Linked DNA regions of Coturnix japonica. The protein of the gene in region 2 interacts with the protein of the main gene of each other region in a biochemical or structural test. Links are inferred from orthologs where the notes say so. Each region holds a gene or a part of one and is shown on either strand. Other genes may lie near its edges. The genes, in order: RPA1 and RFWD3.

Evidence for each region.
Region 1: the proteins of RFWD3 (region 2) and RPA1 form a complex in vitro, tested with the Homo sapiens proteins (3 studies listed by BioGRID, with this or other methods). The link is inferred for Coturnix japonica from reciprocal best matches to the Homo sapiens genes RFWD3 and RPA1.

Annotation. Positions count from the first base shown.
Region 1 is NC_029534.1:4,217,377-4,233,560, forward strand, and holds part of RPA1 (replication protein A 70 kDa DNA-binding subunit), read left to right. Parts: intron 1-179; coding exon 180-268; intron 269-4,062; coding exon 4,063-4,149; intron 4,150-5,129; coding exon 5,130-5,262; intron 5,263-6,107; coding exon 6,108-6,210; intron 6,211-7,313; coding exon 7,314-7,382; intron 7,383-7,526; coding exon 7,527-7,719; intron 7,720-8,891; coding exon 8,892-9,031; intron 9,032-10,665; coding exon 10,666-10,814; intron 10,815-12,063; coding exon 12,064-12,196; intron 12,197-13,235; coding exon 13,236-13,412; intron 13,413-14,658; coding exon 14,659-14,766; intron 14,767-16,184. UniProt on the Homo sapiens protein: As part of the heterotrimeric replication protein A complex (RPA/RP-A), binds and stabilizes single-stranded DNA intermediates that form during DNA replication or upon DNA stress.
Region 2 is NC_029526.1:774,750-790,933, forward strand, and holds part of RFWD3 (E3 ubiquitin-protein ligase RFWD3), read left to right. Parts: intron 1-1,244; coding exon 1,245-1,477; intron 1,478-3,219; coding exon 3,220-3,320; intron 3,321-3,404; coding exon 3,405-3,602; intron 3,603-5,671; coding exon 5,672-5,763; intron 5,764-7,622; coding exon 7,623-7,737; intron 7,738-12,006; coding exon 12,007-12,235; intron 12,236-13,361; coding exon 13,362-13,512; intron 13,513-15,051; coding exon 15,052-15,228; intron 15,229-16,139; coding exon 16,140-16,184. UniProt on the Homo sapiens protein: E3 ubiquitin-protein ligase required for the repair of DNA interstrand cross-links (ICL) in response to DNA damage. Plays a key role in RPA-mediated DNA damage signaling and repair.

The DNA.
Region 1 (16,184 bases), on a different chromosome or scaffold from region 2:
CTACTTGTACAACATGAGAAGGTTAAGTTGATAGTGCAGAGCTTTTGTTTTCCACGTTCCCTTGTACAAAGAATCAGCCCCTAGTGGCTGGTTCTCATATCTGCACGAGAAGGATTCTCGGAGCCTGATAGACTTATAGAGGGAGCGTGTCTTTATTACTGTCTATATTGTGTTTGTAGGAGAGTGGTTATACTGATGGATTTAGATGTTCTGAAAACTGCTGATATGGTTGGTGGGACTGTTGGCAATCCAGTGCCGTACAACGAAGGTGAGTATCCTCTATAAACAGAAACCTCTTGTGTGCAGGCTGCCTGTTATCACACTCTTTCAGCTATCTGTTTCTTTCTTCTCATTTAAAAAGAAGCAGTCAAGCATGTGCAACTCCCTTATGCTTGGAACAGAAATGTCCTCATCTTGAAAATCCTTACTGTCTGTGTGACACAAAGTAGGGTTTGTTCATATTTTCATAAGCTCAGCATCTTGGCTGAAGCTTCCATCACTGAGGGGTATTGAGAAGTGTCTGTGCTTTGTGTTAGCATTGACAGGTTTGTATTATGTGTTAGTGGTCTTTATGTAGAGATCCAGCGAGTGCGTGAAAGCTGTTCTGTATCTCTTTAGAGTGAGTAACCAAGGAAGGTAGGATTTCTTCTATCTGGAAAGAAAATGTAGGGAGGAAGATGTAATAATGATCTATAAAACTGTGAGATGGCACAGAGGGGATGAGTAAAGAATGATGAATCTTTCTTTTCTAAATCCATCTGATACTCTTTTAGTTCTCATATGATCAACTAACAGCTCTAAAACAAAGGCTGTACTGCACCTCTCAGACAGCACATAGCTGAATTATAGAACATGTTGCTACGTGAGGTAGGTGCCAAAAACTGGCGCAGGTTCAAACAGCAATTACGTGCCAAAAAAATAATAATAACCCATTAAAGGCCATTAAATGTAACAATGCATCCTCAGCATGAATGGAAGCACTGAAACTGAAATTGCCCAAAGTAGATAGGTGACTTATGGTTATGGAAACATGGCCAGCATGCAGGCTGTCCTGAGCACCTGTTCCTGCCATCTGAAAAATGTTGATGTGCTGGATGGCCCTTGGGCTGACCTGTTGTGAATTATTAGTTTGATGTTGTGTGAATAACTGCATTCTTCTATTTCATGCGCTAAATGAGTTCTCAGGCAAATGTTTTTTGATTTTTTTTTTTCCAAGATAATGTATTTTTTTTTCCCCTGAGATGTTCAGATCTACGTTCCCTTCTTGGAGTTTTTTTATTTTTCCTGACAAGAGAGAGGATAATAAAATGCTTAAAGAAAATATTTGAGCTTCTCCACTGTGTGCACACGTACAGATAATGGCTGAAATTCAACAGCAAATAGCTTTTATTTTTTTCAGGGATTATTTTTTTATGCTTGTCTTTCTCCTGGTGGAAATGAATCAATTTGCTTTTACTGTTAAGGAACCACATGGTAGTGACAGCAATTTCTGTAAGATATTTTGGACAAATGGTGGTACATAACTGCAATTCTGGTTTAAGATCTACTTTCCTAACTGAAGTAGAAATTAGACTTTGTTGCCAAGACATCTTTCTTCATCAACTTTCCTTTTTTCCTGGGGAATTAGAGATGCATTTGTTAAATGAGCCTAAAGAATCCTTTGTTCCTCTGGTAGTTACTTAGCTAATTGCTGTTTAAAAAATGTGTTGACATCTGAGATTTTATGGCTTAATCTCACAGTTGCTGTAGAGACCAGGATTTTTGGAGCACCTATTGAGCAGACTGTATTGTCTTTCTCTTGTATCACTTGCCTGTGCAATACAGGAGCACGTTTCTTGTGAACTATGGTGTTCTTGTCATATTGTTGCTTAGAAACAACAGAGTATCTTCTGTCTTATAGAACTGAGCCAAAAATGCTTCCTTAAAGAGTATAAATTCTGGTAAAATTGAAGTTATTTTGGGGCAAGTTCTGTTCTTCACTTTGACATACAAGAGTACTCAACAATGAAGGCCTCAAATATAGATGGTTAAGAGGTGCCAAATTGGCTGCAGGATATATTTCACTTTAACACCAACACAATCATACAGAATTCATACAGTGGCGGTGTTAGGCTTCATTTGGTTTTAACATTAGATAATGTTTCAGTTACAGAAGTCTTACTTTAAATACTGATCTCAAGTCTTTCCTACCCCAGAAGGACCCAGGCAGTGAGGAGATTGCTTTTGGCCACTTTGCTGTTGAGCAGTAGGTGGTTAATCTGCCTAACAAGGAAGCTGGAGATGCAATCTTCTTGATACATACCATAAAAACTTCTCAGGCAGCTTTTCATTATAGTATTGAAAATTAAGATTGAGCAGTTTAGTTCTTTGTACAAAGCTACACGGTAATGTTATTACTGTCATTAATCTCATTGAAATTGCTCTGATGTTGGACTTCATTCTTACTGTAACAATTACTTGCTACTTATGTTTAATTTCTGTCATTAATCTTTCAGTGTAGAAATGCTTGTATACTTATACATTTGCTTTTCTTCCTGCTCTTTACACCATTGCTTTTTGGTGTGTGTTCTTTCAAAGTGCATCTCCCCCTTCTTCCTCCATTTGTGATGCAGCTCAGCCCTGGGACAGAGACATAGCAAGGCCCCTCCATAACACTGTTGGGCCTACAGCTACTTCATTAGACAGGGCTGTGTAGCCAAAAGTCTTGGGTTCTATGAAGCCAATACATACAGCAGGAACGTGGTGAGGTATTTTAAGTGTTGGGTTTCCTTCACGTGCACATTGCTGTTCTTGCAACTTCTTTCCCTTTCCAGACATATTTACTCTTAAGTGTTGTCCTCTTTCTCTCGCAATGAATGTGGGGCTGAGCACTGATTCAGTCCTCTGAGTAAGTGAGGCAGCTGAAGGAGGGGGAACTCTGGTTTCTCCATCTAGTGGATTCTGCAGTAAGTGCACGTTTCTGTTTGACGTCATGCTGTTGCTAGGCAGACTCCTGTCACTGCTGCAATGACAGGAGCAGGGTGGTTTTGTGCCAATACCTTGGTCTGGATTAAAAGTAACCAGAAGGCTACCTGTGTGGAGTAAGCAGCATCAGGCTGTGCTTCTTCAGAGCAGTAGTGTTCTTCTGTGCTCATTCTTTCTTGCCATTCTGTTCTGGGATTCTCTGCTTTGTTCCTTGTGATATTTATGGGTTCAATTTCCCTACTTTTCCACTTTCCACACTGCCAGAATAGGGGGACTTTGCCTGCCCTGGCTTAGGATGTCCTTCAAATTGGTGGCTGAAGTGTTAGCTGTGTCCTAATAGACAAAGTTGTTGGGTATTTAATGATCTGGAAGCAAAATATGTTGGAAAAATAGTTGTTTCTAAATTAACTCAGTTTTCAACCTCTGGATTATTTTGTAGTGTAATGTTTTTCTACGTATGTCACACTGTACTTGTGATTTATCAACAGATAGAATCCAAGTCAAAGCCCTGTAGCCTAAAAAATACACAAGACGTACTCACTGTGGCATGCTCTGTATGCAGTATGCTGTTGTATCCCAAGAACCTCCACACCACCACCCCATCATTTCTTCATATTTTGGAAATAAAACGTAGCAAGTGTTTTCTATAACTGCAGGTTTGACTTTACCCAGAGGTTTTTTGGTCCTTTCTGAATTTCAAGGAGATCACTCTGTGGGATTTTTGTGTGTGTGTGTTTTTTTTTTTTTTAAGGGCTTGCTGTAAGATAGTAGCAGAAACTACCTGTCAGAGCAATAGAAGCCTGTAAAAACTGAGAAGTTGTCAGGGTTACTTCAGTGCTGTCCTTTTAAATAACTGTCAGCGCTGAATTCTTCTTAAGTAGAAAGCAGTTGCTTGGGGAAAGGATCTGACTGAAAGTCCTCTGTGTTAATATTGTTTAACAGATAGCTTACTGCTGCTGTGCCCTGTAACACCTGACTTTTAGCATGTTTAAAATCCTGTTTTCATGCAAACCTAATTTCCTGAAAAAGGCTGAAGGGTAGTTTTTAATTACTCTGCTCCCTACTGTCCTAAATGGTCTCTTTCAATTTGATTACCAGGGCAGGGACAGCAACGTTCTTCAGCTCCAGCAGCCAACACAGCACCCAACAAACCACAGCAACAGAATGGCAGTTTGTCAGTAGCAGGTATGAATAATCCTGGGTGAGATTTCAGCTTTCTGTTTGTGCTCAACAAAACATTAAAAAACAAACAAAAACCCCCTTTCCATAATAGTGTTGCAGAAGAAACTACATCAGACAAACCTGTAGCTTGAAGAGATGAGTTGTCTCAAGAGAGGCTACTGTCATTTGAATCTTAAAAATAAATTCTGCCTCATTTTCCTCCCCCTTATCCAAGTAAAACAAATAGGAAACAGCTCTGACAAAGCAGCATGAACTGAACATCTACTCTGATGCAATTCTGCACTCTTGAAAAGGTGCTCTGTGGGCACACGAGTCAGCTACAATTTGTAGCAGGCCAAAAGTTGTGTTGTCAGTGCTGAGCTATTGAGGCCAAACAGCTTATGTGGTGCAGGCTGTGTTTTGATCAAGATTTTAAATAGCAAGATGCTGAAAAAGGCAAGCAACATGTAGGCTTATTTTTAAAGCTATAAGGTTATCGAAGTCCAACCCTTGGTGCTGCTCTCTCCGTGGCGTTTAAGAATTATTTTGGTATTTTGAAATAGCAAAAATTTGACACTTGCTATTTTATCATCAGCTTTAAGGACAGGAAGGAAAAAGGTTCTACATTTATACATTAACAAGGTTCTGTTTAGAATGAGTAGTATTGCCTTGCATCAGGAGGAGTTTTGGTTGTGGGGTGCCATTCCTTATTGTTTGTCCAAGTGTAGATCCAAAATGTGCCATGTTTAAGACAATTTGCTGCCAAGTTGTTGTTTGCCACCTAGACTGACTCTGACCACATCTCCACCACCACCGTATGTGCTTTTAAGGTCTGAGTGAGTCTTGCTTGCAGCCTAATAAATTGATGTGACCAAGAGTAGGAGTGATTCAACAAACTTTTCTATTGTAGCACACTGAATGAGTTGATCTTAACCTGCATTTTGTCTGCTTGGCTGAAATGCTGTGTGCTTTGTTGTGTTTGTTTTATTTTCTCTTTTTGGAAGGTTCTGCTGCTCCGAAGTACCACGCTCCCTCAAACCAGTTTAATAAAGCAAGCGCTCCCAGCTCAGTGAAGACACCAGGGGGAACACAGTCCAAAGTAGTGCCCATTGCCAGCTTGAATCCATACCAATCTAAGTGAGTTGTAATGGTTTGCCAGGTATTTCTGGCTTTATCATGTATACAGGAATGTATGAATCTCTTAAATCATTCTTTATTACGTTTGGTCTTTATCTGTTAATGTAGAGGAGAGGTACAGAGGAACAGGGCAACAAAACCATAAAACCTACAGAAACAGCTGCTCAAGTTTTGGTCTTTTTGTTTCATCAACACTCTGAAAGTCTGAGATTTTTGGTGAAGTTACCCTGCTGAGCTTGATAGCTTTTTAATATTTTAGTTGAGAAGCTGTTTGACTCACCTTTTTTCCCTGAAGTGATCTTCTTTTTTGGTAAGGTAATGACAAAACATCTCAGGTAAGCTGTTCACTTTGGCTACTGTTTTGTTGAAAAGCTTGAGGATGTAATTACGTTGTGAATGACAGTTTTTTTAAGTTATGCAAACTGATTTGATTACCTAAGTTTAAATGCAAATCATATAATTGGGCTCTTGAGTTCTAGCATGGATCTTCAGAACAGGCAAGCTGTTGTATGAGAAATCTACCCTAAAAGAGTGAAAGATCTGAGGCGTGCTGCTCTGCAGAAAGATTGTTGGCTGCTGTGTCCTATTGGATGTTTTATGTTTGGCTTTGTTGTTGCTTTCTATATAACTTGCTGCCTTTAATGGTCGAGGACATTAAAATAGCAGCAGAAAGGCAGGTAGAATTGCTGAGGTGCAGTGGAAAAGTTGTGGCTTTTTAAATAGTGTCATTTCAGTTCCAAAGGTAAATTCAATCTCTTCTAAAAATAAAATAGGAAAAAAAACCCACCAAACATATATAAATAAAAGAGGACATTGAACAGCTCTTATTTCTTGCACAATTTCAGGTGGACCATTTGTGCTCGTGTTACCCAAAAAGGGCAGATCCGCACGTGGAGCAACTCCCGCGGTGAAGGGAAGCTCTTCTCTATAGAGCTGGTTGATGAGAGTGTAAGTGTTCTGTGTTGAGAAAAAGATAACATATACCAGACGCTGATGAACCCTTCATAAAGGCAGAATAGGAGAAATAAAGTGTGTTATAGAAAATGTGTTTTTTTTATTATTATGACTGAGGTTCATATTCTGTATTCATTAACTCGAACATCAGTGATCCAGTCCTTATCCAGAATGAAGTCTTAAATGTATGGCGTTGCTGATTATTTTTCATCAAAGTCTATAGCGTGTGACTCAATTTTTGCAGCTTCAAAATATGGTTGTTTAGGGAAACAGACAACCTTATACTTTGTTTGTCATCATTTCCTTTTGATTGGGAATGAGCTCTCATCCTTACTTAGATACACGGTACAAAACAAGGAGTGAAAGGAGCGTCGCCTCCAAGTTATAAGCTTTCATTTTCACGAGGAAATCAGGCTATAAATTATTGTAATACTCGGAGATTTCATCTGCGCTTTGTTTGGGGAATGGTATCTGGTTAATCCAACTAAACTTGCAGTTTGTCAAACCTCTTATCAAATTACAGCCTTCCGTCCTGAAAACAAACAAGATTCTGCAAGATTATATTTAGTATAAAATGTGAGGTTAATAATGTAACGTGTTGTCATCAGCCATTTGTTTTCTCCGCGTACTTTTAGTAGTCAAATGTAAAAACAACAAAAAAAATTAGGGGATTTATAGTTTTTATTAATTATCACTTAAAGATTTGGCATTGTTTATGAGCAGGACTTAGCTCGAGATACTCTGTGCTAACTTGTGGAGCTAGGTGATCTATTCAAACTTTTCTATCCTGTAACGTCAATTAATGCTAGTTTCAACAGTACTTGTTCAGTGCTGGCTGTGTGATAGTAATTCTGGACCTCTAGGGATGCTAATGAGACTTGAATCTGAGAATTGATGGTCAGGTGTGGAATATGTCATTCTAGCTATAACTGTAAATGTAAGGAGAGCGTTGTCTGTTTCTCAGGTTTCTGGAGCTAGCCTGGCAGCCCACGCTGTCTGTAGAACTGATGCTACTTAACACAGTTAAGGATTTCTTAATATAATTTATTTACTTATGCTGAATTTCAGTTCTGACCGCCTCTCCTGTTTTCCTGCAGGGCGAGATTAGAGCTACTGCATTCAATGATCAAGCAGACAAGTTCTTTCCTCTGATTGAACTCAACAAGGTATGGTGGTGTCGTGCTATCATGGTCTGACATGAGCTAGAAAAGAGGCACTTTAGCATGGCAAGGATTTTTAAAGGTGATCACAATCTATTTTCTCTGTCTGACTTCTGATAATATCCACTGTTTCATTGCTTTCTCCTCTAGGTATATTATTTTACCAAAGGCAATTTGAAGACTGCTAACAAGCAATATTCAGCTGTTAAGAATGATTATGAGATTACATTCACTAATGAAACTTCGGTTGTGCCCTGTGATGATGCCCAGCATCTTCCATCTGTTCAGTTTGATTTTGTATCCATCTCTGACTTGGAGAACACACCGAAAGACTCCATTGTCGGTCAGTATGAGTAGTGAAATGAGATGCTATAAGACTTCGAAACTTTTAGTATTGTGAATAGTGGGGAGGCAGTGAGCAATAGAAGGCAATCTTCTGGGCTGACTTAGCCTGTGGTGGTTGCTGTTAAAATTGCCTAAGGCATTTTTATGGTTAAGGTGTCTTTATCCTGTTCTGCGAACAGTTTATACTGATTTCTCTGCAGAATTGTGCTTCAAGCTAAAGACAGTAAACGTTACTTGTTTATTGTCTTATGATCATTGTTTTCCATGGAAAAGTGTTGAAAGCAAAGTGTCCTTGCTCAGCACGTGTGTGTTTCATACCTTCCATGGTCTTGCTTGCTTTCACTATCTAATTATCTCGGTAGTGATTTTTGGCATACTGCGTTGCATCCGAGTCCAAGTTGCATGACTGTTTTGGCTTGCTTTGTGAAGTATTGGAGGTTTGTTTTTCTGTAATTTGTTGGGCAGAGTCCTCCGGAAAAAATCAGGCTTGGGTGGGGGCGAGGGAGCTCAGGTTTCACAGGCACAAGATGCGTGTGATTCAGAGGCATTCAGCTAGGAATTTTAAAGGTAGACCCATGATGTTCAAAATAGGTTTTTATTAGGGAGCACAAAGGGCATTGCATTTGCTCTTGCTGCCAAAACATGCCAGCTTCACAGGAAATACAACGTGGTTTGGATTGGGAGGGACCTCTGGAGGTCATTTAGTTCAACCTTCAAAACTTGAAGAAGTTGCAGCTTCTGGTCTGGGGGGCTGCGGCAAGGGCACTAGCCAGGTGCTTCTTCGTGTTAGTCATTTTGGAGCCCTGTGCCTGAGAGCCTTCTGCTTAACCAGCAAGGGTATGTTTAAGCACAGCAAGAATCGGGGCTGAAGTCCTTTGGCAGAGTGTGATGGAATAAGAGATTGTGATGCCTTGATCTCTTTCTTGTGGTGAGGCTTGCATTCATGAATATCTTAATGAATTCGTCAACAAAATTAAAACACTGAAGAATTCTGTAGTGGAGCATTCCTGCCATAATACACTTAATTTCCATATCAGATTTGATTTGAATAGGGAGCTGGGATATTACAAGGTAAAAATCTGACACTAGGAATGATTTCTTCTCTTGTGGTGTTGTATTCCCCAACTGTGACCCTTGAGCAGTTCTAACTAAATTGTAACTCTTTTGCAGATGTAATTGGAATTTGTAAGAGCTATGAAGATGTCACTAAAATTGTAGTGAAAGCCAGCAATAGGGAGGTATCGAAGAGGAATGTGCATCTGATGGATACATCAGGGAAACTGGTGACAGCTACGCTATGGGGAAATGAGGTATGTGCTCTCTTACCTGTTCTTAAGCAAAGGTTTCTTTGTGTAGGGTGAAGAAACACACGCTCTTGTCATCTAAGATGGGCATAGTACTGAGACAGTCCTAGGTGTTGGAGGATCAGGGGTAGAGAGAAGGTGAAAGACTGTCTGGTTTCATTCAGGTGTGATGTTCATAACCTTTTTCTGACAGACTGCTGACATGATCTGACTAATGTGTTCTGAATAACTGCAGACATGATGTCTCAGGCACAAAGACTGTAGATAACAGGTATTTGGTTTAGAAAAGGGTATGAGTTGTGGTTTGATCATGGAAAAGCCCGATGGCTACAGATGTCTTGTTTGTGAGGAGCTTTATTCTTACGGTAGGATACTTGTTATCTGAATAAACTGCTGCTAAACTAGGGGGTTTGAAAGGCTGTATCTCAGACTAAGAGTTTAAAATGTCAGAGCTTTGGGAATGGAAAGTTTGTGTAGTTACTGTGAACTGCTCCTTTGTCTTGATAACAAACTGCTTTGTTTTCCAAGGTGTAGATACTTAGAGATTTATGTTCTGGTCTATAAAATGGGAGTCATCCTGCCAGCCTGGCAGTGGTGCCTCATGGCTAAATGATTGAGTGCCCTGATGTAGGTGGCTGAACATTGTTAACCATCTGCTGATATAAATGAAGTAAACTGAGGTTCGGTATCATGAAGTTATGAGGTTGAACGAGTTTGTTATTGGAGAGCTTACTAGTTATGAACATCTTGTGTAACTCTTGGATCAGGGGTCTGTAATTTAGAAAGTTAAATGTTTGCTTTGTTGTAGAGTAAAAGTAACATAAGTATTGAGGGGAAGTGACTTATGGCTTGTGGCTGGCACACCTAGCATTAGAGTCCATATCTCCCCAATAACTCATTGCCTTATCTGTCAAGGTGTGTGTTCTTTTTGTATCTCATGGATACAGCAAGTGCTTTTGCTAACTCCAGCTCATTTGTGGTCCATAAGCACATGATCCTTTCCTTGCTTGTTAAGTGGTGTGGTGTCCAGGAAATCTATACCTTTCATAACCTCTCTAGTGCTGAGAGATTATTTGTTAGTGTCAGACTTCAGTTGGATAACAAACTGATAGCAACTGAACAGCATTAAATCAGCTTTATGAGATTAAAAACAGAAAACGGAAAGCTGAGGAAAGTGTTTGGTCAGCATACCTATGCTTAAGCTGTAGGTGAGGAGACACGATTGTCTCAGTCAAGTCAAGTGATGTCCCATCGAGACTAATTTGATCAAATAACCCATGTTTGGAGAAACCTTCATTCCCGTAGCCCATCTCCCATTCTAAAATCCTTGTTTAAAACTCCTGATGGAGATGATTACACCCTTTTCTCCAAGCTGGTGGTGCGCAGCTGCTGCACTGATAGAGGGATTCTCCCCTTCCTCAAGAAATGGAGTGTTGGGATTATAAAGCTGTTAGCTGCATTTCCTGAACTCCCAGTGCTGCTGTCTAAAACCGTACCTCCCAAGTGCGGTAAGATGGCCTGACTTGGGTTTGGTCTGTTGCCATGATCTGTGAACTATGACTGCAAGTATACTGTAGCATACTTACTAATGCTTTCTGTTGTTTGGTTTTTGTTTTTTGTTTTGTTTTCCACACATGCAGGCTGAGAAGTTTGATGGTTCCAGACAACCCGTGATAGCCATCAAAGGAGCCCGAGTCTCTGATTTTGGTGGTAGAAGCCTGTCTGTTCTGTCATCAAGTACAGTGGTTGTCAACCCTGATAGCCCAGAGGCTTTCAAGCTCCGGGGATGGTATGACTGTGTGCTTGTGTTGACTCATTTCTCCTGCTGTGGAGTATTTGTTTTATTCTATATACTTACATTTGAGCAGTCTATAGAGCAGTGAAGAAAAGGAGCATAGGCTATGGGTTCCAGGCTTATAGAAACTTCTCTTTCTTGGAAGAGAAGTTCAATCTGAAAACCTCTAATTCCATGACAGATGCTGGAAGAAATAAGATAGGAGTATAGCTCATGCTGACCCAAAGTCTTGGAAGACTACAAGAAATCTGTTTTTTGACCAACTCTATTTTCTGATTAACAGAGAGGACGGAGTTTTGTTGCTTCCTCTGTTAATATGAATTGCGGGAACTATGTTGACTTCTTAGTGCCTATCCCTTAACAGATATTTTCAATTAACAAAATGACACTTTTATTTTTATCAGGAAAACCAAGTGACTTCTTAGTGCTTCACTGCTGCTTCTAGCGTAGGTAGTTGCTAAATTATCTGCTGTAGCTACTAAGACAGTGAGATTTGGTGTGTGTGCTAATGGGGTAAAGTCCCTACTGCATCACTTATTGTGAATCCTGGGCTCACATTCTGCCCAAATCCTTTAAACGTGCATAAAATATTTGTCGGCGTTCTCCATTATTCAGATTGAGCAGAGCTGCTTCTATACTTCAGAGGGTTGTTGAAGATGAAATTGATTGTGGGTCTTAGCTAGTGCTGTCACATTTTAATTACATTCCGTTTTTGAGTTCTGTTGGTGTTTCTCACATCACAAAAGACGCTGAATGGGATGATAGTACAACCTTTTTCAGAAAAGGAGTGCTTTCTTATTTTAACACAGGAGGCATAATTTGTTCAATGCTATTTGCTTTTCCTTTTGAAGCTGCTGCAATGATAATGGTAGCGTGTAATTTAATTTTAATTATGGAAATATCTTGATGCCCTTAAATCTTGTTATCTGACTGCCTTTAAGAAGCATGCAGTGCGTGGTTTGACCACTAGCTGGCAAACAAATTGCAGTTATATAGAACAAAGCTGCCCTCCTTTTGTGGGTTTATAAAATACTATGCTAATTAAGTCAGAGTATTAACTTATTCTGAAATGCTATTTTTGTTTGCAGTATACACAAATTACTGTAATTGTTTCCTTTGCAATCATTGATTTTTAAGGAAAGAAAAAAAAAATCCTTCGTGTATTAAGTACATGAAACTAAACGTAAGCTTATGATAAGGTGGACTGCCATCCAAAAATAGCAATGCATCTTTGTGGTTCCAGGTTTGACTCTGAGGGACAGCTTCTGGAATGTGCCTCCATCTCTGATGTGAGAGGTGGGTCAGCGTCAGGGGTAGCTACCAACTGGAAAACCTTGTTTGAAGCCAAATCAGAGAGGTTGGGACAAGGAGATAAGGTAAGGCATGGCAGCTGACTGCAAGCCTTGTGTGTTTGAGGGGGGCGGGAAGGAAACCTTGGTGTTCTGCTTATTGGGAGAGTCCAGTTGTTGGGCTGTGTGCTTATTCTGTAAACAAGAAAAACCAAACAAACCAATGCACTGAATCCAAGTCCTTTGCTGATGTTGCAACATGATCCTATGTGTACGAGAGATTTCTAAGTCTTGGATAAATAGTGCCAAATAGACCACCCCAAAGATGCTAATATAAATAACACAAAGTGTTGTAGGGCAAACAGGTGCGTTTCTAGGAAGGGTTTTCAAGGCAGCCTTGCTCAATAGAAAATCTAGACCCAGGTCTGCAGTTTTCTAGCCTGGTAGCCTTCTTAGGCTTGAAATGCTTCTTGACTTGTTCCAATACGTTTTTAAAAGCATATAATTGTGGTTTTTTTCCAAAATGTTAGCACTAAGCCATTCAGGATAGAGAAAAACTTTGATCTAGATAAAGAACTTCCACAGGAAACAGCTGAATTACCAGTGCCTTTCTTGCATGTGGTTCTTAACCCCTGTTCATCTGCTGAAAGACTTGACTGTGGTCTTAAACCATTAGGGTGATGATTTTAGTGTGGTGAGTGGGTATTTTGTTCTGTGGGCTATAGTTTAATCAAACACTTATCTGTAATACTACACAGTAGGCTTTCTGGTTTTTGTACTGACTCCTAAAAGAAGCATAGGAAAGTGCAGAATCTTAATCTTGTGAAAAAAGCAGAGATTTGAACAGACACAATGGAGAAACAAATGTGCTTTATCTGAAGAAAACCTAGCAATCGGAGTTCCCTGCAATGGAAACACAGAATAATCTTGCTCTAGGGGCTTTATTTAACATAATGGAAGCCTGGAAATGATTGCGACAGGGGTTGATTTACAGTTTTCCAATAATCCATAGCTGTTAAGCTTTCTAATCCTAAATATCCAAGTATGGACGCCTTGCTTTGTAGTTAATTCAGAATTGGAAAACACTGAGTATTTTGAGGCTAATGTTGCACACTCACTCTCCTAGGCGGATTATTTTAGCTGTGTGGGCACAATAGTACATCTGCGGAAAGAGAACTGCATGTACCAGGCCTGTCCCTCTCAGGATTGCAATAAGAAAGTGATAGACCAACAGAATGGACTGTATCGTTGCGAGAAGTGCGATCGTGAATTCCCCAACTTCAAGTACCGCTTGATGCTGCTGGTAAGTGAGCTGATGAGGGCAGGCAGGGCTTCTCCCTGCTCTCCCTGGGCAGTGCAGATAGAAGTCTTTTGATGGAACAGGGTGTTAGGCTGCTGTGTTCTCCAGAGGTGCCTGTGGGTTAGAGGGTATTGAGGTGACTCGTGTCTGTACCTGGGTGAGGAATGTTTCATTGAGCTGATAAGCAGTTTGTTTTCCTAGCTCTCCAATTAAAAGCTTTTCTCTTTGCCAAAAAGTTGATGCTAGCTCAGTTGATTCTGGTTTCCAAGTGTACTATGCAGTGCAGAGTACAGATGGCCTACGCCTCTTCAGTAGTGAAGATAAACTGAAGTAAAATGGCATTTCTGGAGAGCAGTAATTGCACTTTTACAGCTGCTACCTATATTTAGTACATTTTCTTTTGTAGGTATTGTTCTGTCTCAAGCTTTAATGGAGCTTGCTTCGAAAGGCAGTGAGGATTATTATTGTGATGCCTGCTTACCCCATAAGCATTGAACCTTCTTCTGTTTTTACACTGTACATTTGTGTTGTATCTGCTTCTTAGAAATGCTGTGCCAGGTGGGCATGCAGAGAGAACTATCCCTGCAGTCTCACTAAAACACAAACTGCTTCTGAATAATTTCTAGCAGATAACTTCTAGGAATACACAAACTACTTAATGTAGCAGAGTCACTCTCCTAGAATATAAAAGGGATACTGAGGTTACAATCAAGGCCTTCGGAACAGTTTGTCTCCTATTTTTGCATTCCTAATTGTCAAAGCAGCCTCACAGATGAGGCTGGTACTTGATCTGTTTATTGCTCTGTCTTGTCCTTGAACGTTTTGATAGTTGTCTCGTAACGTAGCATCACATGTATTTATGCCCGAGTTCTAAATAAATGCAGGTCTCAATCTTGCTGGTGTCACCCTTGGTTGTTACTGTTCTGGGCTACCTGTTCATACTCATAGCTCATCAATGATAGAGGAAAAGGAGCTGAATGTCTATCGGTGCTTATTGCAGTGATCTTGTTGGCCTCTTCTTGTGACACAACATGCTGACAATATTAACGTGCTTTAAACAACTCTGACATTCTGTTGAGCTCTTTTGAAAAGCAAAATAATAAGTAATTGTCTTCCACCCTCAGTGATGGGAAGTGCACAGGGTTCTTGAGCTGTGAAACAAATACTACTTTTATCTGTTGCTCATAGAAGTCAGTGCAACTGGATGGAATTTCTTGTTCCTTGTTTTTATTATTGTTGTATTTTTTAGGTGACCATTGCAGACTCTCTAGATTACCAGTGGGTGACTTGTTTCCAGGAGTCAGCAGAATTCATTCTTGGGCAAAGCGCTACTTTCCTGGGAGAGCTGAAGGAAAAGGTCAGTCATTTACCTTATTACATTCGTAGTAAATGCTGAGAAGTGGGTCTGTGTTTTACACACCTTGCTGTTGAACAGACCTCTGAGATCCTCCTGGTAAGGAACTATTCCTGTGGTGTTGAACCAGAGCACAATTTGGGCAAGATGCAGTTTGCTTGTGGAGAACCAGTGCTAATGCAGCTGGGAGCACGGTCTCATCCCTGTGTGCATACCTGCTGTACTCGTAACCCAGTCCAAGGGCATTGGGTTGTGTTCATGTTGCTGTAGTAGAAATCACTAGCATTATTAAAACAAATACAAAAGGCTCATGTGAAAGAAAGGGATTTTCTGGCAAGAAAAGGGATTTATCTGAGAAGAAGTTGATATTGCTCATGGTCTGAGCTGATAGGCCAATTCAGAGGTCCAGTGGCCAAAGGCTTTCTCCAGATGTTGGACTTCAAAATCATTTATGAGTTCACAAATCATCACTTCTCTCTATTCTGAAGTTCTTGGCAGGGACTTGTTTACTCTTCTCAGGATTATTTTCCACGGGCCATCTGCCTGGAGAACAGAGATTTGCCTGGTTTCCCCCATCGTTTGCTCCCACAATCAGTCTGTCTACCTCTGAGCTCTTTTGGCTGTTAGACTGAAGATCAGCCTGTCCCTGTCACCTGGACCTTGAGAGACAGCTGTCTTCCTGTCCCTAGAACTACAGGCTTCAGAGGGCTGACAGCTGTAACACACTGACTGCAGTAGAAAGGACAGGCTGTTTTATTGTACCTAGATTGGAAAGATCTGCACAATACTGTTCAAGGCATGAATGCGAGCAGCGCTATCCCTCATGCGTTCCAAAAAATTGTTTACAAAACCAAAAAGCTCCGGAACACTTTGTATGTATCTTTGTAAGTAGGCAGGAAGCTTTTTGGACTTGCGTGTCAGGCCATTTCTGAAGGCTCTTTTTGCACCATGTATTACCAGAAACTTTGAGGGCAGTACAAAAAACCATGACTTTTAAAATAGGTCATTTGCAGAGATGCTTAAGTAATCTTTCTTTGGCAGATTAGAATGGTTTTTAACATGGCTGTAAGCCATTAAATGCTAACAGACAGTATTTTCTTTGCTCTGTCTCTGTGCTTCTCTGCCATGTTTTCCTTTCTTCCCACCAAAATAATCTTCTCTTTCTTTTAGTTGACTACTACACAGTATCTGTGGGGCTTTGTTTTATATTTTTTAATACTGTGGAAAATGCATTATGTGACATAGACAATTTGTATTGTCTATGAATGCTGCTGCGCTCCCACGCTGAGCCTATAGTATGGCTGGTATGAGGGCTCCACAGTTGTTCCAGTTGGTGGTTAGCCCATTGCTTGGCTCTGGGATCCCAGGAGGTTGTAATCCTGGTGGTCCTGAGCCATTTCTGTAAAGCAGGACTAGCTTTC
Region 2 (16,184 bases):
CTGTGGTCAAATTCCGAGCACCTCAAAAACCTCTTAAGCTCACTAATGACTCTTTGATTTCATCTGATGATGTCTTTGCTTTTTGTTAAATGAACCCGCCCTTCTCAGTTCTTCTGTTGGCAGCGTTGTTGTTGACTGGAGCACGTTACCTTGCTCTGCCAGATTCCTGTTGGTGCTTCCTGCAGCAGATCTGGCTCTCAGCAGTCCCAGCCAGCATTTAGCTCAGTGGAGCTTGCACTCTCTTCTGCGTTTCACCTTTGATTTGAGGACTGCCTAATTAGGTGACAGTTGCTGCAGAAACTTTTGTAAAGAAATGCAAACTGACATTTATCATCTTTTTTCCTCTGTAGATTTTTGTAATCTCCAAGCAAAGTGAAAATTCTGTGTTTAGGGCTGTTAGGGATGAGTTTAAAAGGTGATAAGTGGGCACGCTCCCCAACTAGAAAAAGAATCCTATTTCTGGTTTGTTTGGTTTCTGTCTCATCTTTTGCAAATGCCAGGGGTGAAGTTATAATTAACTGGAGTGCTGGCTTGAAATTCAGTGAGACCGAGATCTCTTCTCCTCCTCGATGATTGCACGTTGCTGTACTGCTTGCCTGTAGATTGCTTGTGAAGGTCACTGTAGTTCTCCAGGCTAGAAGCAGCCTAGCAAAAACTGCTTGGAATGTGAAGGATAATTGAGATGATAGCTGGGTTGATGTGGGAAGAGGGAGGGTGTTGCTTTCCAGGGATAAATGTCTTGTGGACAGGAAAGGGAGAAGGTGGACTAACTAGACACTGTGCAGTCAGTGGATTGAGGCTCTGATACAAGCCTGATGTATCTAAATTAGATATCTAATATTTTCTGGTGGGATGGGAACCAGGTCTGTGTTGTGATTGTAATTACAGTGTAGGAGTTCCGTGGGCTGCCAGTCTGTAGTACTTAAGTCTTTGCTTATTTTCTCTCCAGCCCCACCAATACCCTTTGCCAAAATAAAGTCATGTGTAGTGATGGCATTTTCTTGAGCAGGCAAGATGAAGCTGCGTGAAGATGTTGCTGTGTGATATTGCTGACTGTGTCCATAAAGCGGGCGATTGCATAGTATTGCCTCTTATTAATACAGACCTGCTCTGGTAAAATTTGATACTTTCCTGTTTACCACTAGGGCCTGTGAGATTTTCTTCAAGCAAGCATGGGCAGCATACCAAGCCTTCAGTTTACCTGAAATAACTGTGACCTTTATTTCTTCCTTCTCTGGATGCAGGGCAGCGTTGGACAGTTACTTTCAGATCAGCAGGACACAGGAGCCAGCTACAATACCAGGTTCACATCTGGAGCCCTTGCATACTGTGAGGAGCAGCCAAGAACACAGATCACAAATCACAGAACTGCAATCAAGTGGCTCCGACAGCAGCACTTCTGAGGAGGAGGAAGAGGTGGAGGCTGCAGCACCGCTGCCTCCAGCAGCACAGCAGACACCTGCAGCATCTAGCCCAGGTTTGTGCTTCGTTTGTGCTGTGTGGATATTAGATTTCAGAAACTTATTGTGCTGCTTCAAAACTCAGCAGGGAAATACTCTGGAGCTTCACAACAGCTGGTGCTAAGAGATCATTATGCCCACAGCTGATGGGAGCAGGTTGCTACCACAAGGCTTTCTGGCAAGCGGTTCCTAAGAACAGTAACAGCAGTGAGTGATTGTCACTGTCATCTTAAATCCAATCTTTTTGCTATTTGCAGGCTGCTGCTTATAAATAATCCTGGAAGTGTTCAAAACAACTTGAAAATCTGAGGTTATTACTTAGAACATTTCCTCTGTTACCTGCTGCTGAGGAGGGATTGAAGACATCAGCTCGCATCTCCGTTTGGAGGCCAGCAATGCTTTCACTTTTCAGAGGAGGGTCAGATTCAGGACATTTTACTTTAAGCCAAAGTAGAAAGAAAACAGCAATTTTAATTCCTGTAACTTTCTGAGACGCTTAACTTAGGAGACAGAGGTACAACAGCTTGGTCTTTTTATTTTTCCCTCAGCTTTTTCTTCCTCGATTCAAACTTGGATTCACAGGCTGTCTGCACTTCAGTGACTTGGCTTGTGGTGAACATACATATTTTATAAAGAGTGACAAACAGTGAATTCAGTGTTCAGAGGTTTTTGATAACTAACGAATATAAGAAACATATTTCTCATTTCTCAGTTTCTTAGAGACTCCAGTCTCTAAAGAACATCCTTATGCTTCAGTCTGTTTTTGTTTTGTTTTTCATTAGCCAGCCTATCTTGATGTTTTTTTGGGGTACATCTAAGAGGCCACTTTGATCAGATTAATTCCACTTGCTTTTAGCTCGTCTTACACGTGACAGGCGCTCAAGCTGTTAAGTGCTGCCTAATATTGTGTGAACATATGCTCTCTGTTGGGTTTTCTGGAATCCCCTTGTCTTTTCTTCCTTATGTAAGCTGCTGATTCCTGCTCATCCCAGAGCTTTAGGGACTGAAATTATTATTAGCACAAGGCAGTGTTAGGTGATACTTCTTCACTGCATTGAGAATATCTGCTTCGGGTACTAATTGTGGCTAATAACTCTTTTGTTTGTCAGGAGGCTGAGGGAGATAGTGCTTTCTGCTTCTTTTTAGTATGCTAGGGGTGGTAATCCAAACTGAGCTCTGCTGTGTGCCCATGCTTCAACAGAAGGGCTAACAGGCACACCACAAAGACATATGGTGCAGCAGAACCAATAGTTCAGATAACCATGAGCTGGAAAACTGCTTAAGTCAGGGTGAGTTGGACAGATAGCATATGGTAAATGCCTCCTTGGCACGTGGAATATTTATACTTAGATCCCTTGGCAAAGTAGCTTCTCCATGTTGATATCTGTCTTTCTCTGAGCACAATGGTGCAGGTCTGTAACCTTACTTTAGCCTAACTGTTGATCTGTATGTAGCTGTATTTATTCCTAGCAAGCCCTCATAACAATATCTGTCTTCTAAAGCTCTCCTTTGTCACAGAATGTGCTGGAATTCTGGATATTTCTATAAAAGATAGGAGAAAGTTCTTCAGTACTACAGTTGTTGAACAGAAGGGCTTACATGTCAACTGCCCAACCCAAGGATGTTGATCTGTGGTTCAGTGTGTAACCTGTGCCATTGTTATACTGCTTATATCAATACTGTGATCATTATGGATCAAATCAAGGAGAACCCCTCTTCTCCCATAGGTATCAGTTTATTTAAACAATGCTTTCTTTAGTTTCCAGTCAGGATCAAGCAGAGCTGCCTCAAATGCTGCCTCAAGCTCCCGCAGAACATGGAAATCGTGAAGATGAAGAACTTGAAGCCCAGCAAAAGCAGGTGAGGTGACCTAAATGCTTTTGGAGGCAGATTACATGTGGTAAAAAATGCATTTGCTTACAGAGGGTGTTTTTTAAACCTTAGAGAACTCCACTGAAGAAACAGGAGCCACCAATTCCTGCTGCAGCACTGGAGGAGGAGGAGGGGGACACCTGTGCCATCTGTTTTGAGCCATGGACCAATGCTGGGGATCACCGTCTGTCAGCCCTGCGGTGTGGGCACCTCTTTGGTTACACTTGCATTGACAGGTGGCTCAAGGGGCAGGCAGGGAAGTGCCCCCAGGTAAAGTGGGCATTTCTGTGCACTGGGAAGGACTTGCTCTTGGGTGACTTGTGCTGCAGGCATGGTCACCATAACTGTTACATTTATTTGCTCTACAAAGATGCCACCTATGCCTGCTGTCAGAAATAACAAAAATCACAATTATTTTGATGCATCTGGTGCAGGCACAGCTAGCAGTGCTTGAAGGGAAAGATTCTGTCGTGGATTTTCTTCCCTGAAGTAGAGTGTTTGTGACTAGCTGGCTCAGAAGCCTGCTAGTTTGAACTCAACCTGTAATTGGTTTCAGAGCACCGCACTGTTCCTGGAGTGTGGGAATGGCAGACAGATTCCTAGAAGCAATTAAGCGTAAAGAATGCACCATTGGACTAGAAATCTGTCTGAGAACCATTTTCAGTAGGTTTAACTGCCATTTTTGAACTGCATTTGCTTTTGCAGCCTAAAGATCAGGCTGTTCAGGTAGGTTTCAGAAAGTGAGCTGAGAAACAAGCCACGTCCTTTACTTGCAGTTGCAATTGGTAGATCTGCTTCTAAAGGTGCTTCTTTCTGCTGTTCTTTCCATGTGTTTTTTGTTTCCATACTGGTCTCCTTTTGAGTAGGTCTATGATGACAAAAAAATATGTCAGTGAGTACCACGTAGATGGGAGTTCAGCTGTCCTGCTTTCCAAGGCAGTATCTGGAAGATCAGTATTTCTTTGGCTTTCTCATTTTGTGAGTTTTAATGGTCTTGCTTGACTCTGTATAGGATTCCCTCCTAGCACAAGAAGCTTCCTGTTGCTGTGCACTCAGGTTAAGCCTAAAGACCCACTGTTAGCACAGTAAAGGCCCAGACCTAACGTGTCTCATCTATTACAAGTGTGTGTAAGCTTTTTGTCTGCTCTGTGCCCAGGCAAAACTCTGAGACCTCTTTTGCTCTTTGGCACTTTGCTTTCTTCATGAACCTTAACAGGGCTAAGGGTACTTCTTCCTGATTTAATGTGGTTTTTTTTTGTTTGTTTTTCATATCATTACTGAAAATTTCCTGTGAGAAGTCCCTGTTCTGGAGACAACCTTGTAGCTACATCATCTGCCTTCATTTTCATTCGCTGTCCTTTGCGGCTGAGTGTTCTCTAAATGAATAGCACCAAGTTGCTGTGTGTGCTGCTCTGTATACTAAGTGGCTTGAGTGCAGTTACTGTGAAATTGCAGCATTCCAGATCCTGTTGGTGACAGCTGTTGGCTGCCAGAAAAGCTGCCTTTGCCACTCGCTGCTCTGCAAAGCAGTTTTCTGAGGTGTGGGGGGAGTTGTCTGGTCTGAAACTGTCACCCTTGGTTTCTTCATGCTGCTAAATAATAGAGAAGTCTGCAGTTTAAGCACACATAACAATTTAGCTCTCCGTTGAGTTTACTTATTTCAGTGCTCTCTGCCTCTTTTCCTATCAGCCAGGTATGTTTGCAGCACAGGAGGATTTCAGATGCTGTAATTTCTTACAGGTCCCAACGCAGGGAGGTGCTGTTCCTTTTTTCTCAAGTATGAACTGGTCATGGCAAGGTGCACAAAGTGATTGAAGCATCTGACTCTGCTTGTATCACTGAAATCAGCAGAATGCCAGTGTTTGACACTGTTACAGGAATGCTCGCGTGGATTTGGGCCTGCAGGGTTTGATCAAAGGAGTAGGAAATGTAAATCAATGTTGGGAGGAAGTTTGAGTGCCCAGGTTCTGCTCTTGAAGCAGCCAATCTTGATGCTTTCCAAGGTTTGGCTGTTATTCTGCTTTAGGTCGTTTCTCCTCCTTTCTGTGGGTTTTCTGACCGTGCTGCTGTTCTGGTGCTTCAGCAGAATAAATGTAGAGGAAAACAGGCAGATAGAATCTATTGCACCTTCAGTAATGCAAGGTCTGATCTGCCACTGCAGACCCCCAGCAGTGCCTGTAGGATGGGGTGTCTTACAAACACACTGTGACATTAAACAGACAGTGCTTCCCTTCAGAACTCTTAAGGAATATTCAGAATAGTAACCTAGCAATTTGTAGGGATGCATAGCCCAATTAGTGGTGTTCTTGTAACAAACTGATGGTGTCTTTTTCTTTCAGTGCAATAAGAAAGCAAAACGTTCTGACATCGTGGTCCTGTATGCTCGGACTCTGAAGGCACTGGATACCAGTGAGCAGGAACGCATGAAGAGGTACGGAGTGTTCCTGACATGTCAGGGAAAGCAGCAGCCTGGCTTTTACTTTATTCTTTAATTTCCTGTATTACCTAAGCCATTTTGTGCATTCCCTTGGGGGTTATCGTGAGTGTGGCTGTTGTAGATCTTGCTGTGTTATCTGTGCCTTCCTTGTAAGGAGAAGTTTCTTTTGGAACGGGAACACTGAGTTTGCACTTTGTGGCACTCGGGTTGCAAAAGGTATCTTGTGCTGGATCATGAAATGTTGTGGCAGGAGAACATGTAGGCTTGTTGCCAAAAGCTGTATGTTGCTAATTCATCATTAGATGAGAAAAGCAAGGCATAATTAGGAATGCAAGGAGGGTGAGTAACTGACCTTTTCTGTCATCTTTTCTGCATGCATTAAGCAGAGTAATCTCTCCTATGAATCACTTTCCATCTTGCTTTGTCAAACTCTTCATGTAGCTTTACTTTCAAAGGTCAGCAAGCATTGCTGTGATTCTACCCCCTCTTCCAACTTCAGTGTAGACTTTTGTCCTCTGAGAAAAGGAATAGTAGGAAATGGGCATGAATTTTTTTTTTGCTGTCACAGATACTATTTTGAAATTGCAATGCTGCAGACTTCTGAGTTCCCCTGAATCTTGTAGTAAATAGAATTTAATTGGGTCTGCTGTGGCATGTTGCTGAGCATAAAGCTGGTCTTCAACACTTTTTTAACAGAAACCTCCCCATCCTAGTAATTATTAATTAGAGATGTTTGAGGAATAACTATCACAAGGGGAAGATAATCACTGCTGCTTAATGTTGTTTGAACTGTGCCTTTAGACTGCACAGATACAGCAAAACAAAGCACAGTAAAACTTGTTTTCACATCCTCAGAAGGCTTTTGAGTGCTTAAATCTTGTTGTTCCTTAGGTAGAGGTGACTAACTGCTGCATGTGTCTCAGGTTCCTACAGCAGCTCTTCCCACTTGCTATCCCATCTGTCCCCTGGCTGCTGTTGGTTGGGAGGCAGACAGCAATGACTGCCTGTCAGTCTCACTCACTCACTGGCAGTGGATACTTGTGGTACGTAGCCACCAGCAAAGTACAAATGTGGACACTGATACATTCATATTGTTTGCACATAGCCTTGAGTTGGGTGTGAGCTTATGTTTTTGACCCTTGCATTCAGAAGAGCTACCCTGCTGATTCTGGATGCTTGTCTGCAATGGTTCAGTGCAGAGCTTCATCTGTTTCTTATGCAACCAAGGAATAGCACGGTGAAACTACACAGAAATGACAGAACTCTGTGCTTGATAAATGTGCAAGGCTAGGTCTGTGTATTTTAAAGGTGCTTAGGCCAGCTAGATCTCCTGCTTGGGAACTGCTGAAATAACCAGAGAACTGCAGCTTTTGGAACACAGGATGCAGCGTCAACATAGACCCAACATGCAGATATTTTTAAGGAGTGATGGTGTTTCTTTCCCGCTTTCAACTATTCCTTCATATGTAAAGTACTTATGAAAGCAAAATTTAAGCATGTTTTCAAAACAGCTGCTGCTAAATTGTTTATATGCACTTTTAGGCTCAAGATGAGGTGGTAAGTTGAATTTTTATACGGGCCTATTAGGGCCACTCGTTATCCAAAGGATTGTGTTTGGACTCCAGAGGGAGAGGAAAAAGGCACTTATTTCTGTGTAACAATAATTGAGTCATGCTGTACCACTAAGGTGAACATACTGGCTGACTATAGCACCAGGTACCCTGTTCTTTCTGAATTTACCCAAGTGGGACCTGTGTTGGAACAAAGTCCAGGGACAGCAGTCAGCAGAGGAGCATCCCAGAAATACCCAGCCCTAATGTTTGCTTTTTTTTCTGTCTCTCTCTCTCATCCAGCTCTTTAGAAAAGGAGCAGAAGTTGCGGAGGCAGGCGGAGCTGGAATCTGCACAGAGCCGGCTGCAGCTGCAGGTTCTGACAGATGAATGCAGCAAACTGCGTAAGCAAGTCCAGGTGAGTCTGACTCTCCTGATGCACAGAGGACTCCCTTTTTCCCCAGCCTGTCTCTTGCTTGCTTTCCTTACAAGGCCTCCAGATCTAGTAGGATTTAGGGAACTCAACTGGTCAATCATTCTCAATATCCAAGGCTAGTGTAGTTATGCACACTACTTAGTGCTGACTTCATTTTTGTTTTGAAGACTTAAAGTCACAAGTGCAGTGTAACAGGAGGTGTTCTTGGCTGCTGGTGTTGCAGGTTGCTCCTCAGAGCTTGTGGTGGCTGCTGGCAAGGTCTGGTAACACAGTGCTGAATTTGCCCCCCTCGTTTTTCTCTAACTGCACCAAAATAAGCATTGAACATCTGTGATATAATGGAAGGTTTTTGGTAAATAGTTGGTGAGGAAAGCATGCTTGTGGCCATTCACAAACATAAAAACAAAGCAAAGCAACCAAACCTTAAATGCATTTCAAAGGTCAATGAAGATTTGAGCTAAGCACTTCCTGCACCGTGAGCCTGTCATTGGAGTCAGCTGGGATTCTACAGCTGCTGAGAAGCACCCCTGTCCCTTCAGAATACACTGAAAAGAAACGACTGGTTGCTAAACAGCAACTTTCTTCCTGGCTTGTGCAACATGTAGCATTTTGTAACCTGCTACAGCTGCTTCCACCGGATTTCTGTGAAGCTGAAGCTGTTTGCCTTGCTGGAAGTTTCTGCTGTGAGTTACCTGATGTGTTGCATCAGCACTGGGTTTTGCAGCCGGTTTGCTGTGTTTTTGTTGCATGAAGTAGGTCATAACTTGCCTAATCTCTCACTGTCTAGTATCTTGCTCAGCTTTAAGCTTTTCTCTACTTCCGGGTCTTTCAGAGCCTTGGCTATTTATGTCTGTACATTAAGCAACATCCTTTTTTGCCAAAGTTTTTCCAAGTGATGTAACACAGGGCTTTATAGATTGCTTCCTAAATTCCTTTGTGAGGCTGTATGCTCGTCGGGGTGTGTGAGAGAACTGGTCTGGTCTGCTATAAACTTTGTCTTAAGAACAACAGAAATAAGATAAAAGTGCAGGTCCATAACATACATCTTCCTGCAATTCTTTAGGTGTTAGATGATAGAGTATCCAGTCTAACTGAGTTGAAGTCGCGCGTTATAAAGATTAAGTACCCTGTGTCCTTAAGCTCCATTTCAGTATTTATACTGCATTCATCACTGTCCTGCCTCACTTGATGTGAATGCTAGAAGCAATTTGAAGGTACTTGTTTGTACTGTGAATGAACTGGAAGTAAAAAACAATTTGCTGGGGAGCCATATATCAGCAGGAAGCATAGAATAAGCTGCTAAACTGTTGGGTTATATGCATAACTAATTCCTTATGCTATGGGAGGTCAGCTAGTAAAGCAACTACTTAGATTCACTTAAATAGGAAGGGACCCACAGAGGCTTCCAGCCCCAACCGTAGCTGGGTAAGTTCAGTGTTGGATTGGGTTTCTTGGGCCATCAGTGTATCAGCTGATGGAAGCAGACTACGAAACCTCTCTGGACAATGCACTCATAAACTGTTCTCACTGAGAACTGACCTTGTTGCTTCTGACATTTGCTGCCCTTGTCCTTTCAGCGAGTAGTATGGTTGAGTGTACAAGAAAATGTGTTTAATTGATGTACAAAGGTGGAAGCCACCACAGAAAGCACTGCTTTGGGATTACAAATCTGTGAAATACCCAGACATTCAGAGGGACTTTCAAAGTGGAAAAGTCCAGTTGCACATGACTTCATTGGAAGAGTTGTGCCCACTAATTACGCAGACTTAAGTCTTAGAGAAAGCATAAAAGCATATGCCATCAGTTCCCCCCGTAGCCCTTGTATGTACCCTTCTTTGTTGTTAGTGTGCATGAGAACTACACACTGTGTCATATTGCTTATGACCCTTTTTCGTGTTTGTATGCTTTTCTTACACAAAGATGAGCTTGCTTCAGCTTTCTTATGGTAGTGTGTATTAAAAATGCTGTGTTTCCAGGCTCCTTGGCTCAGGTTTGATGCCTCTAGTGCTGCACTGCGGTTATAGGGTCATGCATTTATCTCTGTTAAGTGCAAATCTTAGGCCACGTAGAGCAAGATAGTGGGCATGACTTCTCTAAGAGGTCTGTGGGAGCACAGCCAAAGAGTGGCTGTCATCTGATAACTGCTTTTGTCTTTAAAGCTTTGTATCAGCTATTACAACCCTTAATCTAATACTTGGAAGAAAACTGGCTTGAATCTGTTGTAGCTGGTTTTCCTTTCTTATTCGTTGTTCTCTCCTATTTCAGCTTTTCATGCATATTCCTCTAGAAGATTTTTGCTGGATATCCTCTTCTGGAACAGGTTGCTCAGTGAGGTTGTGGATGCCCCTCCCTGGAAGCACTGGAGGCCAGGCTGGATGGGGCTGTGAGCAACCTGGTCCAGAGGAAGATGTCCCTGCCTATAGCAGGGGGGTTGGAACGAGATGATCTTAAAGGTCCCTTCCAACCCAAACCATTCTATGATTCTTTCTCTAACTGTTACTTTGTCATAGCAGGAGCCAGGTAGACTGCACAGCCATCAGCTTTTCCTACTGAAAGTGTCCTTCTTGGGCACAGTTAGTGGGGTTTGTTCTTTGGTGCAGTGTTTGTAGTTGCCTTGGTAATGTCCCCAGTTCCTGCTTCTGCTGGGTTCATCCTTTGGCTGTAAATGCAGACATCGTTCTGATGGTCTTTGTGTTTTTAATTGCCTGCCTTTCTTTTTAATGAAGATCTTGCATAAAATTGAAACGTTGAGTGCAGGTGGAAAGAAGAGTTTTATAAATTCCCCAGAGCAACAAATATTTTTAATCTCCTTCTCAGTGGGGGTGGCATCTTTCTGCCTTTCAGAAATAGGGCTTATTAAATTTTTGATGAAAAACTGCTCTCTTCTATGTTACCTGTGTACATACTGACTGCTTACTCTAAGCCTGGAGCTATAGTTTCTGATTGTCAGCATCCTGGCACCCCTTACATCCCCCGTCCTCTCCAGATCTTTGTCTTTGCTCATCTTGAGTCTTCAGGCTCCATTTTTTAATGTCACAGGGAATTTGGAATGCAGAATTGGTTTGATGCAGAACCAATCAGACCTCTGGAAGACACCAGAGCTGCTCTCCTCTGGAGCAGTCCCCAAAAGCTATAGGGCTTGGTGACAGCTGTTAATGTAGAGCTTGATATTTGGTCTTGCCTCTTTGAGAACTCTTGCCTATGCTCGTACATAAGTTAGGTGATATTGGCTGGCTCGGTATCGAGGCTAGCTTGCAATTTACTAATATATTCGTAATATCTCTTGTGGCCCTTAATTGCTTAAAAATGATGCAGTATTTGAAGCATAACCCAAGTTGCTCAGACAACAGAAAGCAACTTTCTTAACATGTCTATCCTCTCTCTAATATCAATGGAGTGCTGCTTTGCCTGGTTTTGCCCTTGGATCACAGTGAGTTGTTCCCAGAATGTGTTGTGATCATTTACAAGTGATGCAAATGTAGCAGTGCCACTCCTCACATCCCCCCCTCCCCAAGTCCCCCCGTCCCCCCCCCGATGCTCTCTGTGGGAAGAGGAGTTGGGGAATATCTTGTTTGTGGCTGGTGCTGTGATGGAAGGTGTCCTTGGTGAGGGCTTTGCATCCTTGAGCATCAGTTGAGGTGAAAGGAGGCGGGGATGAAGCAGAAAACAAGGCAGGAGCTCTTGAGAGTTGTCATTCCTGGAATTCGCTGCCTGGGATTTACAGGAACAGGGCTGTCTTCATTAAATAGAGGGTGTTGCAGGAAACAAGTCAGTCAATGTTGAACCTGAAGGTTTTTTTGGGGTTTTCTTTGTTGTTGTTGTTGTTTTTTGTTGGTTTTTTTTTTTTTTTCCTTTATGGGATATTCTGGAAATTCTGGAAAATGGTTCTAATTGACTGTCTCTTGTGGCTGAGCTGCATGTAGTACTTGGCAGTTAATTCTCCTCTAAACAGCATTGATCTGGTAATAATTGTCATTGGCTTTTCTGTGTTGTCCCAGAGCCCTCTCTTCTGATACGTATAATAACAGACTGAGTAGATTCAACCAGAGCCTGCAGAACCTTTCAATGCTTCTGTTGCTCTTGCAGTCAGTGAACAGGGAAATGCAGTGTTTCAGAGTATGGGGACAGAGCAGTCCGTATTCTTTCTCCTTCTCTGAGAATGGGAACACCTGAAGTACATGGATCAGGTAGCACAGGGTGCCGCATCTCCAGCAGAGCATTAAAACTCTCTGAGCTCTCTTTCCTTTGCAGGAGCTGAAGGCTCTGATGGCTCAGCACAATGGCAGTGCTTCTAAACAACCCGGCAGCTCCCGCACCTGCTTCCCAGGTGGCCTCCCCTCCAGCCAGAGCCAGCGCAAGTACCACTTGGAGAAGGTTTTTGTGGTGTCTCAGGCTGGGAACTGCAGAGTGATGGCCTACTGTGACTCGCTGAGCTGTCTCGTGGTATCGCAGCCTTCTCCACAGTCCACTTTTATTCCTGGTAAATGAGCAGTTGAGATCTGGGGGTTTGTAGGCGATACTGGTTTACAGAAGTTAAATGTTTTACTTGCTCCCTGTGCCCTCTCTATCTGGCTTTACCTTTGTATGTGCCATATAAATGGGGAGCACTCACAAGTCTACCTCTGGTCTGTGCTCCTGCTTTGGTGACCTCTGCCCAGAGGGATGACTTATCTCCCCCCCTGCTTCTGCAGTGGGATCCTAACAGGGGATCCCTGTCTCAAGTACCACATCCTCAGGAAGGTCCAAAGAATAAGAGGTCAGCACACAAGGACAGGCAGAGTCGCTCCTGTTCCATGAGCAAGAAATGTTCCTTCTGTCATAGGTGGATTGGGCCGCATGCTGTCAACTAACTCCTTTTTAAAAAGAAAACAGACTTTTAGTATGAAAGGTAGGAGCACTGTCTCCCAGTGTGGGAACAATAGGCCAAGAAGCCTGGGCAGTGCTGTTTCTGTCTGCTTGTTATGGCTGGGGCAAGTGAACTGACACCTGGCTTTGTTCCAGCTTCCTGTCCTGGTGAGATAGATGGAGTGTTATGAGTCTGAGAGCCTTTATTTGCAAAGCACTTTTGTGCTTTCTGAATGGTGAAGCTTGTTTTAATCTCCAAACCATTAACCAAATAATGTGCCTTATCTCAACATAAGGAAATTCCATTCACTGTATTCAATTTGCCTTATTCTCTGGAGCCTTGGAGTGAATCTCTCAATGGAGGCTTTGTGGCATGCAGGTGCAGTTCACCTGTAGGCATTTTACGCTGTGACACTTGTTCTTTTAAATTGCCAAGTAATCCTAGTGTGCATATTTAGGAGGAACTGTCTAAAAAGCAGCAGCTCGTGTAATGAGAACTGTAACTAACACTGGGATTGCTCTTGCTGGCTTGAATACTTTGAGATTTTACACTGTTGCTGATTGAATTTAATAATGATTTGTGTCAGTTCTCACTGAGAACAGCAAATAAATTGGATGTGTTCACCCCACCACAGCTTTTAATTTGGAGATGGTAGATGGGACATAGAATTGCTAGTTCCAGGTTCCTCAGCAGTTGCTGGTAGGCATCCTGCCTCACACACAGGCTGCTTTGCAATAACCTGCCTTATCCTTCTCGTTAGGGTGTGGTGTGAAGATGATGAGCGTGGCCAACCTGAAGAGCAGTCAGTACATCCCCATCCACAGCAAACAGATCCGGGGGCTGGCTTTTGGCAGTCGTGCAGATGGTTTGCTGCTGTCTGCTGCTCTGGACAACACTCTCAAACTCACCAGGTGAGCCTTGCTGGGGGAGGCAGCATTTCCCAGCTTGAGCATTAATTCTGTGCAAGAGACTGGACTGGATTTTGTATTTGTCTTGTAGCTCTTGCTCTTCTGTGCTTGATTTTCTGCTCCTGCAGTGAAATGTGGAGCAGGGGAGCTTGTATAGCATGAAGCAGAAGCTGTGTTTAGGTTGAGCACTTTGTTCTCTGTGCTGTTGTTGGCCTCTCTGACTTAAATCTTGTGGATTGTGAAGTTCATCTGGGATATGAAGTGTGTGCACAGCATTGTTGAGCGTGTGCTGGAAAAGCACAGATTATCTGGAGCTAGCAGTGACTGAAAACAGCAGGTTGAAGACAGTTATGCAGAGGGTGAGATGTGTTTCTCCATCCCTGGTGGAATTTTCAGCATATGAGTTTGCGTTTTCTTGCTATTCTGTGCTGCCCTTCAAGCTTAAGCTAATTCAGAACTTTATCGGCCACTTTGTCTTATTGAGTTGCAGCAATGTGTCTGTCAGTATGGTCTTATGCAGAATATGTCATGATTAAGTAGTCCCCATTCTCTCCCACATGGGAGACAATGAAGAGAACGTAATTCCGTAACAAACATGTGAAGAGTTCTTGCTTTTCCACTGGTGGTACTGTGTTTAAATAGTCAAACAAGTGTTTCAAAATTGGTATCAGAGGTGGACAGTTCTGTTTAAATCAGTGTGCCAGGCTTATAACCGCTGAGGTTGGTGTCGTGGCTTTCCTGCAGAGCAGCCTCTTGTTGCAGGAGCTGCTTAAGCTTGATTTCCACATCTGCCTCTCTCTGCCTGATGGATTGCAGTGGAACTTGTGAATGTCATCAGAGCTTCTGCATTTGTGTTTGATTCCAGGGTGCTGGGGTGCAGTGGTTGCTTCAGCAGCATCTTTGTAGAAAGAAGAGTCTCCCCCTTGGTCACCTTCCCAGTTACTGATCTCCTAGTCATCCTAGAAAAGGAATTATCCAAGATGTTAAGTCCCCCCCATTCATGTTTACAAGTGTTTAAAATAGCACAAAGGCTTTGTTTTCTTTGTCCTTGCTTTTAACTGGTCTCTGTTCTGATACAAAACGCCCTGACAATTCTCTCTAGCCAGGTCTTTGTGGTTGTTCCCTGGGAGCAATTACTTCTGTGGACTTCTGCACTTAATTGCCTTCCTCCTAGTGAACCCCATGAGTTGTAAAGGGGTTATTTTGTTGTGTTTTCTTCTGTCTCACTAGAGTGTACCAAGCCTATATTGGTAATGCCACCCTTGGCATAGGGTAGGTTCTATAACAATCTAGAAAAGGAAGCATCACCCTGAAAGAATTATGACCCCCTTCACAAACAGCATGAAAGAGATTATTCTATCTAGATGATCCAGAGTCGTGCAAAGAGTATAGGATTAGTAATTTAGTATTCAATCTAAGGAGATTAGTTTTTAAGTCTGGAAGTAGGAAGAAGCCTGATTTGCTTCCTGTGGTTGCACTACTTTCTTGCCAATGGGTGTTGTGCAAGGGACCAACAGTTTGTTGGTTTTTTTTTTCCTGCAGCTTGGCAACAAACACTGTGGTACAGACATACAACACAGGCCGCCCTGTCTGGAGCTGCTGCTGGTGTCTCGATGATACAAATTATGTTTATGCTGGGTTGGTCAACGGCTCCATCATGATATATGATCTGAGAGACACCAACTGCCATGTCCAGGAACTAGTCCCTCAGAAGTCCAGGTATGGTTTGTGTATGTATAACTGGTGTATGTTAAGCCGAGCATAGCTCCCTCCATAAACCATACAGAATTGTGATCATCTGGATTGTTTTTACATGAATCTGTTGTTCAAAAACTCAAAATTCACAAAGCATGAGGGGGTGTTTTCTAATGTTTCAGGGTACATGTGTAGTTAGTATGGGGTACTTGGCCAGTGCATCTTGTTAAGGCATACAGCCATCAGAAGGACCCAGCAGTTGTACATCTGAGCAGCAGAACCAGCTGGGTTTTGGAGCTGGGCTTGGTGTTTCCTTTGAAAAGGAGAAATTACAAAGAGGTACAGGACACTGATACTTCCAGCTCTTCTACTCAGAATCAAATGTTGATTTAAGAGGATATCTCAGAGGATATCCTCAGGTAAGCTATGTGGACCTGGCCAGCCAGGTTGGTTTGGTCTTCGCACTGCCCAAGTCAATCACAAGCTTTAATGCTTTAACCGAGATTTAATGCAAGGCAGGCTGAGATGGGGCCCAGCTATGTCAAGCTGCTGTTTTAAACAATCTGAACATGTTGCTTTTGTCACTTGGCCTGTCCCTTCAGTGAAGGAAGGGACTCACAACTAAGTTCTCTACTGATGACTGCTGAAGCCTGTTGTCCCTGTTTGGAGTGTTAAAGCTATGGGTTGCACCACATCTGGTGTATGCTGTGTGATGTATATTTAAATATAATAATAATATGTAATAATAATAATAAATATAAAAATATAATATATAATATAAATAATATAATATTATATTAATTATATTTATATAGTTATAATATATTATTATATTAATTATTATTATATTAATTATATTAATTATAATATATAATATAATATAATAATAAATGACTGTAGCCGACAACGCTGACTCTTGCCAATCACATTTTCAGGTGTCCCATGGTATCACTGTCTTATCTGCCTCAAATGGCCTCAGC